Linked DNA regions of Saccharomyces cerevisiae S288C. The gene in region 1 interacts genetically with each later gene. Each region holds a gene or a part of one and is shown on either strand. Other genes may lie near its edges.

Region 1 (3,760 bases):
TGCGAGAAATGCGGAGCTATCTCATTATACACTTTGTGAACATACTCCTGTTCTTTTTCAGCCGCTTGGTTTATCTCCATGTTGGTTCTTAACCTTTTATTTCTTGGCTCTTCGAGACCTCATCTCTGTTCAGTTCATTACCGAATTTTTTCTCTTATTCCCATTTCTTCGACTGAAAAGTTGAAAGAAATTGAAAAATCAAGAAGAGGTATATAGAGATAATTATCCATATAAATGAAGAGCACAAAGTAAGTTTGAGCTTCAACAGCGCAACGATGACCGAACCTCAAGGTCCTTTGGACACCATCCCGAAAGTGAACTATCCGCCAATACTGACAATAGCAAACTATTTTTCCACAAAACAAATGATTGACCAAGTCATCAGTGAGGACCAGGACTACGTTACGTGGAAATTGCAAAACCTGCGAACGGGTGGTACATCAATCAACAACCAATTAAATAAATATCCAAAATACAAATACCAGAAAACCAGGATAAATCAGCAAGACCCGGACTCTATCAACAAAGTCCCAGAAAACCTGATCTTTCCACAAGACATTTTACAACAGCAAACACAAAATAGCAATTACGAAGACACCAATACCAACGAAGATGAAAATGAAAAACTTGCGCAGGACGAACAATTCAAGCTCTTGGTAACCAACTTGGATAAAGATCAAACTAATCGGTTTGAAGTTTTCCATAGAACATCCCTAAACAAAACCCAGGTCAAAAAACTGGCTAGCACAGTAGCTAATCAAACTATAAGTGAAAATATTCGTGTTTTTCTGCAAGCGGTGGGAAAAATATACGCTGGTGAGATAATCGAATTGGCCATGATTGTGAAGAATAAGTGGTTGACAAGTCAAATGTGCATAGAGTTTGATAAGAGGACCAAAATAGGCTATAAATTGAAAAAATATCTAAAAAAATTGACTTTCTCCATCATAGAAAACCAGCAATACAAGCAAGATTATCAATCCGATAGCGTTCCCGAAGACGAACCTGATTTCTACTTCGACGATGAAGAAGTAGACAAGCGCGAAACTACGCTGGGCAACTCGTTGCTACAGTCCAAATCCTTACAGCAATCAGACCATAATTCACAGGACTTGAAGCTACAACTCATCGAGCAGTACAATAAGCTCGTCCTCCAATTCAACAAACTAGATGTAAGCATCGAGAAATATAACAACAGTCCCTTATTGCCCGAACACATCCGTGAGGCGTGGAGACTCTACCGTCTGCAGTCGGACACTTTGCCTAACGCTTACTGGAGAACTCAAGGAGAAGGGCAGGGATCCATGTTCAGATAGCTGCCCATAATTGTCCAACGGCTCCAACATATATCAATCTATATATAAACATATATATAATTTTTAACATGTCGTTTGAAATGACATGTCTATTTTTAAAAGGATAGCATATAAATTAATGAAAAAAAAAAAAAGAAAACGATTACTGCAGATCTTCTAATTCTGTTAATCAGCTTTCTCTTGTGAACCATTGGCAGGTGGGTAACATAAAAGCACAATACAATAGCTTCCATTATTAGTTTTGTTTGTTTTGGCAATACATGTTAAATCTTTTTCTTTCAAGTTAAATATAAAGATTATATATAAAAGTACTTCTTTGGAATACATTTGATTATACTTTTCTTTATCGTTTTATTTTTATTTCATCGTTATAGTCGCTTCTTTTCCCCTAGAGGCTTTGTCATAAAACAACAAATCAACCACTCTCTGCTTATCTTTCCTTCCTTTTCAAAATGGGTAATTCAAGTTCAAAATCTTCGAAAAAGGATTCACATTCGAATTCCTCCTCGAGAAATCCTCGTCCTCAAGTGTCGAGAACCGAGACTTCCCATTCTGTGAAGTCTGCAAAATCAAATAAATCTTCAAGATCAAGGCGATCTCTTCCTTCTTCGTCCACTACGAATACTAATTCAAACGTCCCTGATCCCTCCACTCCATCAAAGCCCAATCTTGAGGTTAATCACCAACGACATAGCTCTCACACGAATCGTTACCATTTCCCATCTAGCTCACACTCGCATTCAAATTCTCAAAACGAATTGTTAACTACTCCTTCATCATCCTCTACTAAGAGGCCTTCTACTTCTAGAAGATCAAGTTATAATACTAAGGCTGCTGCTGATTTACCACCTTCAATGATCCAAATGGAACCCAAGTCACCCATTTTAAAAACAAACAATAGTAGCACACACGTATCCAAGCATAAATCTTCATACTCATCTACCTATTATGAGAACGCCTTAACCGATGATGACAATGATGATAAAGACAACGACATCTCGCACACTAAAAGGTTTTCTAGATCTTCGAATTCTCGTCCGTCCAGTATAAGAAGCGGATCAGTGTCAAGAAGGAAATCAGATGTGACCCATGAAGAGCCTAACAATGGATCATACTCCTCTAACAATCAGGAGAATTATCTCGTTCAGGCATTAACCCGGTCAAATTCTCATGCATCTTCGCTACACAGTAGGAAATCTTCGTTTGGATCAGATGGTAATACCGCATACAGCACCCCATTAAACTCTCCAGGCTTGTCCAAGCTAACAGATCACTCTGGTGAATACTTTACCTCTAATTCAACCTCCTCATTGAATCACCATTCAAGTCGCGATATTTACCCGAGCAAACACATCAGCAATGATGATGACATTGAAAATTCATCTCAATTGAGTAATATCCATGCATCAATGGAAAATGTTAATGATAAAAATAATAATATAACAGATAGCAAAAAAGATCCGAATGAGGAATTTAATGATATAATGCAATCTTCCGGAAACAAAAACGCTCCAAAAAAATTCAAAAAGCCTATCGATATTGATGAAACTATCCAAAAATTACTGGATGCGGGCTACGCTGCTAAGAGAACAAAAAATGTTTGTTTGAAGAACAATGAAATTTTACAGATTTGCATCAAGGCTCGTGAAATCTTTCTTTCTCAACCTTCCTTATTAGAATTATCACCTCCTGTAAAAATTGTAGGCGACGTTCATGGCCAATATGGGGATCTCTTAAGGCTTTTTACCAAATGTGGGTTCCCACCATCCTCGAACTATTTATTCCTAGGTGATTATGTGGACCGTGGTAAACAGTCACTGGAGACTATTTTACTATTGTTTTGTTACAAAATAAAATACCCTGAAAATTTCTTTTTATTGAGAGGCAACCATGAATGTGCTAACGTCACAAGGGTTTATGGATTTTATGATGAATGTAAACGTCGTTGTAACATCAAGATCTGGAAGACATTCATCGATACTTTTAATACATTACCATTAGCTGCTATCGTAGCCGGAAAGATTTTTTGTGTTCATGGTGGATTGTCGCCAGTTTTAAATTCTATGGATGAAATCAGACATGTAGTTAGGCCTACTGATGTACCAGATTTTGGCTTAATTAATGATCTTTTGTGGTCCGATCCCACAGATTCACCCAACGAATGGGAGGATAACGAACGTGGTGTAAGTTACTGTTATAATAAGGTGGCAATTAACAAATTCTTGAACAAGTTTGGGTTTGATTTGGTTTGTAGAGCTCACATGGTTGTGGAAGACGGTTATGAATTTTTCAATGATAGAAGTCTCGTTACGGTGTTTTCCGCGCCAAATTATTGTGGTGAATTTGATAATTGGGGGGCTGTAATGAGCGTCAGCGAAGGTTTATTGTGCTCTTTTGAATTGTTAGATCCACTAGATAGTGCAGCTTTGAAGCAAGTTATGAAG
Region 2 (3,760 bases), on another chromosome or scaffold:
AAGTCGTCTAAAGCCAATGCAAATAGATCGGAAGAACGATGATAAACCATTGCGGTAATAGGTGCATCCAATTTCAATTTTCCCAACAAGGTTGACTTGTTAAAGTCATAAAAACCAACAATACCGTCTAGTCCACAAGAAACCATTTTACGATTCATACCATCTAAGGATATACCGGTGACTGCTCTTTTGTGCAATTTGTATTTTTTACGGAGTATACCACTTTGCATATTATAGATGGTGATAGAGCCGTTAGAAGAACCGATGAATCCAAAATTACCACATTGCGACATGGCCACAGATTTAACAAATCCATCATCAGTAGTATCAAAAGTCCACCTGCCAACTCTTTTATTTCGCATATCCCAGGTTCTTGCAAACTTTTCATCTTTATGTGCAGTGATAATGTTTTCCCATTCACCTATTCTGGCATTTTCAATTGCAAGAGCCACTATTTCAGGAAATTTAGACTTAATTGTACTACCACCTACCCTGCCGCCATCTTGTTTCTTGTGTAACCTTTGTGACATTTCTTGCGACTGTGCATCTTTACGCAGAGAAAAGCTCCATAATGATCTATCTTTGGATGCTGATAGCATGAAGTGTGATTGCGAATCAGCAAACGCAATGTATGAAGGTGGTTGAGAATGACCCCCTCTGGAACGTAGATATCTTGGCGGTTGAACAACTACATCACCGCTTCCTTGAGATAATGACGGATCGAAAACGTACTCCTTCAGGGAATTGTCACCACCTGATGTAACAATAATGGGTTGACCATTTAAAAAAGTAGCCTGAGTGACACCACCGTACGATTCTCTATGAATGTTCTTCAAAACGTGTATTCTTGAACGGCGATCTAAATCATAAAATATTAGATCACCACTGCTCGTTCCCACACTCAAATGAGAAGAACCGTCGGTTCTGAAACTCAATGAGGAGATTCTTGATTGCGGAATCTTAATTGTGCGGATCCTTTTACCTTTTCTCATATTAAACATAATAACCTCACCGGTCACGGTACCTAGAGCAATAATATCCAGGACTGGAGCGGGTTCAGCAGTTGTGATTTGGTCTGGAAATTCGTTTGATGTGAATACAAGCTTCCCGGTTCTGACGTTAAAAAGTAAAACGTTAGATTTGGTAACGACAGTTAATTTATTCAAATAAGTTGCCAAATGTTGTAAAGACACAATTTCGCCACCTTGAATTTCAGTAACGGTAAGTTTAGTGTAGAATTCTGATGGATATTTATCTTGCGGATCGGACTTCTTGTATATAAAGATGGAATTGTCGTCGGTGGAAGCGCAAAGATAATCTCCGAATATGCACAAATGTTCGACATTTGCATCAGTTTCTAGCTCAAGCAAATGTTCCTCAATACCCCTCTTGTAAATACCAACCTTGTTTTCATATGCTGCGTAGACGTAGTGAAAGTGTGCTGATAATGCTACAATTGAGGATGGTGTTTCTTTCTCGGAAACAAAAAGTAAATGTAAGGTATTCGCATCATATATCTGAAATGTTTTACCAACACACGTTACAATGTAAAAGGTAGATCCCAATGTACCAGTAGCAAAAGGAACACCATTGCTAACATTACCAATAATCCGGAAAGGGGAAAATATCTTAGAATTTTTCCCTCTACTTCTTACGTCTTCTTCGACTTTTCTTTTTTTCAAGTCGATAGACATAATGTACTATTCCTAACTCGCTATAGCCTTTTCAGTGTCTTATTCCTTGCTGCTGTTTCGCTGTATATTTATTGTGCTTAGGACTTATTAAATTTCATTAGCAATCTCATCGCGAAATTTTTCTCAAAATTTTTCAGTTAAAAAAAAAAAAGCACGTGCTCAAAAATGTTTTTAGAAAATCATTTATTTAAGATAGGAAAAATGCAATTAATCATTGAATCAATATGTTCACCACTTAAATTACCCACTGAGCATTTCATACAAATTCAAAAGCATCTCGTAGCATATTAATATATTGCAGAAGGTCATGAGTGGGATAAAGAAGGAACCGATTGAATCTGATGAGGTTCCTCAACAAGAGACAAAAAATAACTTACCTAGTGCACCTTCTGAGATGTCACCCCTTTTCCTAAACAAAAACACACAGAAGGCTATGCAATCTATTGCACCAATATTGGAGGGTTTCAGTCCTAAGACGTCAGCTAGCGAAAATATGTCTTTGAAATTGCCACCTCCCGGTATTCAAGATGATCACAGTGAAGAGAATCTCACCGTGCATGATACTCTGCAAAGAACCATAAGCACTGCACTAGGAAACGGAAACAACACCAATACAGTTACAACTTCCGGTTTAAAAAAGGCAGACAGTGAATCAAAGTCAGAAGCTGATCCTGAGGGGCTCAGCAATTCTAACATAGTCAATGATGCAGATAACATAAATTCCATCTCCAAGACCGGATCGCCCCATTTACCTCAAGGAACAATGGACGCTGAGCAGACTAACATGGGAACTAACTCTGTACCTACTTCATCAGCTTCTTCACGCAAATCCTCGACTAGTCATCCCAAACCTAGGCTACCCAAGGTAGGGAAGATTGGGGTATGTGCAATGGATGCAAAAGTCCTTTCAAAGCCAATGAGACACATTTTGAATCGTTTAATTGAACATGGTGAATTTGAAACTGTCATTTTTGGAGATAAGGTGATTCTAGATGAAAGAATAGAGAATTGGCCAACTTGCGACTTTTTGATATCTTTCTTTTCTTCAGGATTTCCCCTAGATAAAGCAATTAAATACGTCAAGTTACGCAAGCCTTTCATTATCAATGATTTAATAATGCAAAAGATTTTGTGGGACAGGAGATTATGTCTACAAGTATTAGAAGCCTACAACGTTCCAACACCTCCTAGACTGGAAATCAGTAGAGATGGTGGTCCCCGTGCCAACGAAGAATTAAGGGCAAAATTACGTGAGCATGGCGTAGAAGTTAAACCCGTTGAAGAACCGGAATGGAAAATGGTTGATGATGATACTTTAGAAGTTGATGGGAAAACCATGACTAAGCCCTTTGTTGAAAAGCCCGTTGATGGTGAAGACCACAACATTTATATATACTATCATTCTAAGAACGGAGGAGGCGGTCGTCGTCTATTCCGTAAAGTTGGTAACAAGTCTTCTGAGTTTGATCCTACTTTGGTTCATCCTCGTACGGAGGGGTCTTACATTTATGAGCAGTTTATGGATACCGATAATTTCGAAGATGTGAAGGCTTATACGATTGGTGAGAACTTTTGTCACGCTGAAACTAGGAAATCACCTGTGGTTGATGGTATAGTTAGAAGAAATACTCATGGTAAAGAAGTTAGATATATTACTGAGTTATCAGACGAAGAGAAAACCATTGCTGGGAAAGTTTCCAAAGCTTTTTCACAAATGATCTGTGGTTTCGATTTGCTTCGCGTTTCTGGTAAAAGTTACGTCATTGATGTTAACGGATTTTCTTTTGTAAAGGATAACAAAGCTTACTATGATTCATGCGCCAATATATTGAGAAGTACCTTCATTGAAGCCAAAAAGAAGATGGATATGGAAAAGAAGAATCTGCCCATTATTCGTGAAGAAAAGGAACAAAAGTGGGTATTCAAAGGACTGGCTATCATTATCCGTCACGCGGACAGAACACCAAAACAGAAATTCAAACATTCATTCACTTCGCCTATTTTTATATCGTTACTAAAAGGTCACAAAGAAGAAGTTGTCATTCGGAATGTAAATGATTTAAAGA

Evidence for each region. A genetic interaction does not mean that the proteins touch.
Region 2: mutations in PPZ1 (region 1) and VIP1 together harm fitness more than expected from each alone (negative genetic interaction), as found in Saccharomyces cerevisiae (4 studies listed by BioGRID).

Annotation. Positions count from the first base shown.
Region 1 is NC_001145.3:239,545-243,304, reverse strand, and holds the start of PPZ1 (salt homeostasis regulator), read left to right. Parts: upstream 1-1,768; coding exon 1,769-3,760. Other genes in the region: TRM9 (tRNA (carboxymethyluridine(34)-5-O)-methyltransferase), read right to left, coding at 1-80; TATA-binding protein-associated factor TAF11, read left to right, coding at 276-1,316. UniProt on the Saccharomyces cerevisiae protein: Essential for the maintenance of cell size and integrity in response to osmotic stress.
Region 2 is NC_001144.5:935,540-939,299, forward strand, and holds the start of VIP1 (inositol polyphosphate kinase VIP1), read left to right. Parts: upstream 1-2,001; coding exon 2,002-3,760. Other genes in the region: rRNA-processing protein UTP21, read right to left, coding at 1-1,694. UniProt on the Saccharomyces cerevisiae protein: Bifunctional inositol kinase that acts in concert with the IP6K kinases to synthesize the diphosphate group-containing inositol pyrophosphates diphosphoinositol pentakisphosphate, PP-InsP5, and bis-diphosphoinositol tetrakisphosphate, (PP)2-InsP4.